Linked DNA regions of Coturnix japonica. The protein of the gene in region 1 purifies or fractionates together with the protein of each later gene. This does not show direct contact. Links are inferred from orthologs where the notes say so. Each region holds a gene or a part of one and is shown on either strand. Other genes may lie near its edges. The genes, in order: LIN28B and LARP7.

The links.
Region 2: the proteins of LIN28B (region 1) and LARP7 purify together in Homo sapiens (affinity purification with mass spectrometry; 3 studies listed by BioGRID and IntAct, with this or other methods). This does not show direct contact. The link is inferred for Coturnix japonica from reciprocal best matches to the Homo sapiens genes LIN28B and LARP7.

The regions. Positions count from the first base shown.
Region 1 is NC_029518.1:62,741,774-62,746,087, reverse strand, and holds the start of LIN28B (protein lin-28 homolog B), read left to right. Parts: upstream 1-1,221; 5' UTR 1,222-1,476; intron 1,477-4,314. UniProt on the Homo sapiens protein: Suppressor of microRNA (miRNA) biogenesis, including that of let-7 and possibly of miR107, miR-143 and miR-200c.
Region 2 is NC_029519.1:51,167,356-51,171,170, forward strand, and holds part of LARP7 (la-related protein 7), read right to left. Parts: intron 2,650-3,815; coding exon 2,549-2,649; intron 2,436-2,548; coding exon 2,352-2,435; intron 1-2,351. UniProt on the Homo sapiens protein: RNA-binding protein that specifically binds distinct small nuclear RNA (snRNAs) and regulates their processing and function.

The DNA.
Region 1 (4,314 bases):
ATATTGTAGGCTGAACTATGAACAATCTCAGACTGTAACTAAGCTGGCAAAAAAAAGTATGACTAATGGAGGGGCTGGAAACTTAGAGACAATATTGTCAGAACAGAAAATAGTTTGACCAAAACAACACAAAGATGGATAGACATGGAAGGATGAGAAACTGGATGCAAAACGGAGAAAGCCAAAGTCTCTCTTCAGGATAATGGAGTACACAAACACTTTGCTGTGAGCAGTGATGGGAATGGAACAGGAGCAGCCCTTCTCAGTCTAACATCTCTGGGCTTGGACCAGTCTCCAGAAGGTGACAAGAAAGGTGTTACTTGGAACCAGAAACTTCCTCCCCATATCAGTTCCTTGTTTTTAAATGTTCAACAAATAATTCCCACAAATAGACACACCATTAAAAAAAAGGAAAACTGCACCATTTATTGAGAATCAGGGCTCTTTTTTTTCTTTTAACTAAAGTGAAAAGGCTTTAGTTAATCTCACTAGGAAAATGATATATTCCATGTACATTTCCATGGGCTATCATGTATAGCAGCCCAACACAAACAGCATATGTAATCACAGAATATTTCAGGTTGGAAAAGACCTCTAAAATCACCTATACCAACCAACCTATCCCCACCGCGTCTACTAACCACATCCCTCAGTGCCACATCGACATGTTCCTTGAACACCTCCAGGGATGGTGACTCCACCAGCACCCTCAGCAGCCGGTGCCACTGCCTCTGAGAAGAAATGGTTCCTAATTTGCAACTTAATGAAAACTAACCAGAGCTGTAACACACAGGGACTCATACACAGCATCCTCCCCCAAATATTCCTTTGCTCACACAAGACATTTTCCAGCCAAGAACACTGAGAGTGGTTTTACACCAGCTAAGGCTGTGCTCCGTGTGACACATTCTTTATGAAAAGGAAATTAAAAGATGCGCACACTGGCCGAGCTACGACAGGATCCCAGATTGTGCTGAAAAACTCCGCCTGGAGCCTCACAAATGAAACCTACAAAGGAAAATCCAACTATGGGAAATGACGACCAACGAAGGCAGCCCAACACCTAATGACACTCCAGAATAGCAGACCTACAACCCCCCATCCCGCCCCAGGGCCGGGTCGCGGCCTCAGGCTGCTCTGTGGGGCGCGGATGCCGCCGCCCCGCCCCGCCCGCGGTTCGCGCTGCCCTCGAGCGCCCCCGCGCGCAGCCGCCGGGCTCCCGCCCGTAGGAGGGCGGCGGGCAGCGGGCAGGTGCGCGGCGGCGGCTGCGGCGTGAGACAGCGTTGTGGCCGCGTCTGCCCGCCGCCCGCCCGCTCGCCCACCCAACCGGCCGCTCCTTCTCCGCCGCGTCCTCCCGGCGGTCGGCAAGGCGAAGCCCCCCTCGCGGTGCCCGTCCGGCGGGCTCCGTGCCTGGCTCTCGCCTCCCCTCCGCGGCACGGCAGCCCCGCTCAGCCCGGCCACCATGGCGCGCGGGAGGTAAGCCAGCTCCTTCACCTCTCCTCCGCGGAGCTGCGCGGCCGCCGGCTCTCGCCCTCCCGGCGCCGCGGTACCCGGGCATGGAGCGCAGCGGCGGCCGGAGGAAAAGTTGCGCGGCGGAGCGGTCGGTGCGGGGCGGGTGTACTTCCGGGTTCACACCTTTTTATCCCTTCGCCTTCGTGCCGCCGCCGCTCGGACCGGAGCCGGCAGCTGCTTTTCGGCTCGGTGCCGGGCGGGGCGGGGTGTGGCGGAGCCGCCCGCCGGGAATCGGGAACGGCCACCGCCGACGGGGGGCGGCCGGGCCCGTTGGGGCGCTGCGGCCGCACGACGCCAGGGGGCGGCCCTGCCGAGGGATGCGGGGCGGGAGGCCGAGCGGGGAGCGGCGTGCGCCGTGCGGGGCCGGGAGTGCGGGCGGCGGAGGGGCCGCCATCTTGAATGGCTCCCACCGCAAGTCGGGCGGCTGCGGGGGAAGAGTGGGGGGCGAAGGGAGGGCGGCGGGTTCGGCAGGTGACGGTCCCGATGGGAACGAATAAAGCGACTCCGGGCCGCCCGCTCCTCCCAGTCTGCGCTCAGCGATGGCGTGGGGGCGAGGCGGCTGCTGCTGGGTCGGCGTTGACTTGCCCTGTCTGCTCTTGTTTCGGCGTGCAGCCGTGTTCGGGTACAGCGGTTGTGCTGTGGTAAATGATGCGAAGTCAGGTAAATAGTGGGATAATTGAAAACATAAGCGCCCATCTCAGCTGCAGCACGTGTAGGTGTTTTGTCCAAGGTATTACAAATGATGACACGGACGTGTTGGGAAAGAATACGATTCATTTGTGGCTATGAAGCTGAGAACTCCGGCTTCGTGTTAAATCTCTTTCTGCCCTAACGTGAGGGAATTACCCATTGTAATCTGATGAACACATTGCCCTGAGATGTGCTACGTTCGTGATATCCCTTAGCTTGTGTGTAGGTGTGAGCACATGGCGTCCAGTGCTCTGTGAGCAGCAGGGAGGGCACGGCAGTGCTGTGTGCCCGTCTCAGTACAGATGGCTCACTGCTCTCTCTCACACACACATTCTGCTTCCCTTTTCCTATAGGCCATATGTTGGGGTTGGGTTTCTCCACCCCATAGCCTGCTTTGGCATTTCACCTCTTGCATGCAAGCACTGTGAATGCTCACGAGAACAAAAAAGACATCCTGCTGTGAGCGTAGCATTGGTTGTTAGGATAATAATTATAGTTAAGTTTGGTTGTAGTGAATTTCAATGTAATTGCGCATAATTTCAGCAACATTAGGATATAATACCAGGTGAAAATGCAGTATTGCATGTTGGGTCCATGCACCACCCAGAGGTGCAGCGGTCACTTGTTTTTAAAACATACTTCAAAAGCCAACTTGGGAGCAGGCAGAGCTGCAAAGCTTGTTTGGAAAACAACTGATAAGATGTGCAGCTAAGTCCCTGTGCTTCAGAGAGTGCTGTCCCCTTAGTACAAGGCAGTAATAATCGATAGCGAATTAAATTATTACCTTAATAATTAATACAGCAGGATTGCCTTTGTGGTAGTGAAACAAATGCTGCAGGTAACAGCCTGCAGCTGCGGCTCGGCGGCTCGGGCGGTAGTAGGACAGCGAGAGCTGGGGCCTAGGGGACGGAGGGGACCTGGGTTCAGCTGTTGGTAGAGCCGCGTTTGTTCAGCGTCTATAAAGGGTCCCGGTGCTGCGGGCGGGCGGCGCTCGGTGGCCGCGCTGCGAGCTGCCGGCTGTCGCTGGCCGCAGTGCTGAACGCCGCACCGCCGGCAGCCCTGTTGGAGGGTACCGCCGTGTGGAGTGATGGTGCTGAGATCGATCCGCCGAGCTTTTCTTGTTAGGAAAACGATTCCTTCCTGTAGGAGAGGTTTTTGTGTAGCCAACTTATGAAGTGTAACGTTACCTACACGAAATGGAAGTGGAGCTGAAGCTGGCCATCGGGCGGGAGCGTGATGTTTGTAACCGCACGTTTGGTTTATGAGAGGACGTTCTGAAAGCTGATAGCAAAGCAGCACGTAGTGATGGGAGTGAAATAGCAGCAGCAGCACAAACAAACACGAGGGGCTTCCCTTTCTCTCTGTAAAAAGAGACATTGCGCTTAGAATGGCGTGCAACCCATAATATTATTTTATTTAATTCCCTTTATTGTGTTTAGGCATCTCAAGGGAAGGAAAAAAAATAAAAGCAAGGTTTTCTGTTGAGTTTATTTTTTTCAGCACACAGACAAGTGTTCATTCGCTGTCATTGCATGCTGGGTGTTCCCAATGCAGCTGTGTTATAAAAAGCAAACAAATCTGCCACCGTGGCTTGATGCAGAGGTGTTACAAAAAGGAAAACAACCAGCAAGATCGCGTATGGGAGGATAGGAATTGAAAAACTACGCAGCTTTCTTAGCGTTGGGCTTCTAAAAATAGAGCCAATTGATATGCAAGGTCTTCGAATTAAAGGTCAAAGGTGACAAACCAGGACAGAGGTCACACAGCTCATTTTCAAGCAGTCGGTTTCTGGTTTTTTCATGGTTGAACAAAAGCTTAATTATACAGAAAAGCCGGGGCTGTGATATTAACTAGTCAATTTTAACGGAGAACTCGGTGTAGATATGCACAGTTCCCTCCTTTCCTTAATGTGGTTTAGTATTACATACGTGCTACTGCTGCTGATGCAGGTACAGGTTTGACTAGTAATAAACAGCTTTAGATGTTTAACATTTCATAATTTGTTGTCTATATTTACAATTTATGCATGAAGACCGAGAACAGAAATAGCCACTTCCAGTAATCTCAGTGAAAAAAGTCTCTATCCCTTGGATACGTGCTGTGATTTCAATG
Region 2 (3,815 bases), on another chromosome or scaffold:
ACAAAAAAACACATTTGATGTAACATTAAATAAATAATTTACTTCAGTAAATATTCTTGTCAGGAGGTCATAACATTCAGACAGTAAAGACAGTGATCTGAAAATGGATCTCTATACATTCTCCTATCTTAACAAATAATTTGGATTGAATTAAACAGGTTCATCTTCTTCCCTTGACAGAAACACCAAGGCTTCACATGTCACTGCCTTGTTCAAAGATAAACCATCTCTGTCCAGTTAAGATCAGAGTAAGCATAACTCTGTATTGCTTCAAACTCATCAGCATAGAGCACAAGGATTGTGTTTGTTTGTTTCATGTTGAGAACTCAGGTGTCACACAAATTAATTCTTGCAGGTCACTAAAGAGGTACTACTCAAATTGGTTTAAGCTCTACCAGCTTTTTAATACAGCAACACATTTTAGGAGCATGCACACACAATGCCTCAGTTCTTAACAGTTTTCCTTCCCTTATCAAAGAAACATTCTATTGTATCAGTGCCTAAAGGAGACTCATTTGAACACAATTTAAAATCAGTACTCCCAGATACATGCCTGAATTAAGTAACCAATACTTCTCTCTTTTTTTTTTTCCATGACAAGTTACCATTCCTTAAAGGATCACTGCTCCCCCTCATGGCTTAATGAGTTAAATGACTTCGAGAAGTCATTTAACATGGCTCAACAGTCTAGTAATAACAAAATAAGGGGTGGGTATCTGACACAACAGGCTTCTAAAATGTGATAAAACAAACAATATCCCTCTTCCCCTTTCCAAACAAACAAACAAAACCCCACTAAACCAACCAACCAACAACAAAATAACTCTGTACCTTTTTGGGTGGTAAAGAGAGGATATAGAACTGCTACACATTCTCCAAATAAGATTTTTTATGGATTAACTAAATTACAAAACCCAAATCACCTATTTTGGTTTTACAGAAAAAGTTAAAATTAAGGAAAATCCAGTTAACTATGTAGTTAGGTTATATCACTCAATACATTGAAATATTATATGAAGGCCTTCATATTGGGTTCAATTCTATTAAAAATGCACATAACTTTTAAAGAAGTGACAGTACAACCATCAGATCTCTTTCCACTTCCCAACACAAGTGGCTCAACAATACAATAATAGTAGACCTACTCTGAGATCTAAAATATCATACTGAGAAGCAGCATAAGCTATTTTCATTTATGTTAGTGAATCATTGAACTAGTAAGGTTGCCACATTATGCTAGTAGGAATATTTTAAAAAGCAACCTTAACATAAGATTAGCTCACTTAAGTAAATCCTGCAACTAAAAGAATGTTTACTTCATAAATGCTTGCTAGTACCACTGTGACTCCTCTAGCAACATTAATCAGAAAAGCCCAGGGAAATAAGTAAGATATGGATGAAAATACACCATTTCCATGCCAGGATGTGAAACAGCTCTTTGCTCAGCATTTTAAATCAAGACAATGCTAGAAGACAGCATATGACACTAAACCCATTCCTTTCTTGCCCTGGTCTCTGGCTGTGATCACCTACTTTCTCTTTACTTCCTTTACTCTGCACAAGCAGTAATAGTCAGGCCCTGACCTCTCTGTGCTAACAAAAGTATAAATGAACAGGTATTTTCATTCGTTATAAATGAACAGGTCTGTTTAGCCTTGAGAAAAGAAGGCTGAAAGGGGACTTGATCCAGGTTTATAAATACCTGAGGTGTGGGGGCCACAGTGGTGAGGCTGGTCTCTTTTCAGTAGTGCGTGGGGACAGGACTAGGGGTAATGGGATGAAACCACAGCATAGGAAGTTCCACATGATACAGTGAGGGTGACGGAGCACTAGAACAGGCTGCCCAGGGAGGTGGTGGAGTCTCCTTCTCTGGAGATATTCAAGACCCACCTGGACACCTACCTGTGCGACATGATGTAGGGAACCCGCTTTGGCAGGGGGGTTGGACTCAATGATCTCTAGTGGTCCCTTCCAACCCCTACAATTCTGTGATTCTGTATTCCCAAAACAAATTTTTATTGCATTGAAAGTACATATTAAGCCTAATATATGCCTCATCATTACAAGTTTAGTACATCTCTCTCCTTTTGTGCTGTCTTTTTTCTGAGAAAAAATCCTGTTTCCTGGTACTTTGATCTTGTCAAAGAAAATCCAACTTTTAACTGTAGTAAAATATGCGGCTGCTTTGTTGTATGTGCCATTCTTATTACTATAATAATTTGCAATCAAGTTACAGCCTGAAAAATGTACAGTGTTTTTTTTCAGCAAGAATAGAAGTTTAAAGTATTTGTAACAGCTGGAAATAAAGTGCTCTGTGAGACACAAAGCTCACAAAACAGGTACAAACTTACCACATAGACTGTACGACTATCCACATCCTTTGGTTGTTCACCCAGCGGCTGGCGTCTTCTAATCCTAGTTCCTTCTAAATCCAACTAGAATTTAACCAGAAAAAAAAAAAACAACACAGTCAGCAGGACTGACTACTTCAGTTCCACTATAACTACTAATCCAATTGCAGCAAAAGAGTGAAATATTGAACACCCACCTCTACAACAGATGAACTTTTAACTGCTCGTGCTATCAATTTTCCATCAGTAGTCAATTTTTTCATTTTGTTGAAAGAAACAAGCAGTGATATGTCAACATCTGAGAAGGAAAAATAAAAAATAAAAGGAGCACATGATGAAATCAACGCAATTTAGAAAGCCCTACTTGTGTGTAACAAACAGACATCAAGAATGAGCTAGAATTCCCATGAAAAGAATGTGGCAGTCATTACTCCAGCATGCAAACCCACACTGCAGACTGATGAGGATCTACAGAAAGTTGTCACCATCAGAATTCAAGCTTCAAGGAATCCTATATTTAACGTTTTGTGCTCATCTATCAAAGGAATTTCTGTCTTTTACCTTCCAAATGATAATTGTCCTTGAAAAGAAAGGAAGAAAAAAAGCCTTTGTGATGTACTTTTACAGTACAGAAATAATTTGCAGTGAAAACATGTTTCTCCTTGTGTTTAACCTAGCCTTTCCAACACAAAAGAGCCCCAGCTTTTACTTCAGCTGAGATGAGTCATGCTGATAACATCTGAACAGAAAATTATGCAGTACCAGTCTTAGTTAAAAAACTGTTCGAGACATCCAAACTTTAACACCCACAGAAAACATAAAGAATTTTCTTCTATACACTCTTTAAAAAACAACTTGGAAGTTCAATGCAATTGAGGACTCTGACAAGTGATATAGACTTCCCACACAACACTGATGGGCTAATGATTTATACTTCAAGTATGGAATCCTTAAGAAAACAAAGAACACACTTATGGAATCTGAAATGCATTATTTCTTTTGCTGGAAAAGGACTGTCTGTCTCTATAGATACAGCACAACTGATATAATCCATCTGGAGTAACACAATTGAGCAAATATACTGATAGATCATCTTAACCACAAATTTACTATTCTTAAAGCAAAAAGCATAATTGTTAGTGCAGCTAATGTGTAAACTAACTTCTGCTTCAGGATGAGCTGAGTAGTTCCAAAACCAAGCTCTATCTCCTAACCTGAATTCAAATGAACCATGTCAAAAATGGCCAGTAGGAAAGAGACCTATAAAAGCCCCAGTAAAAGCAAATGCACAATCTCTCACATATCAAATCTGTCCAAGCAAGAGGAAGAAAGAATATAAAACTGCAAAAGGAAGTGACATTTTCATACCTGTATACAGCTACCCTACAATTCAAGTACTGTACGTCTATGGAAAACAGTAACCCATGTTTGCTTGCTTATGCTGTTGATTATATTAATAATAAT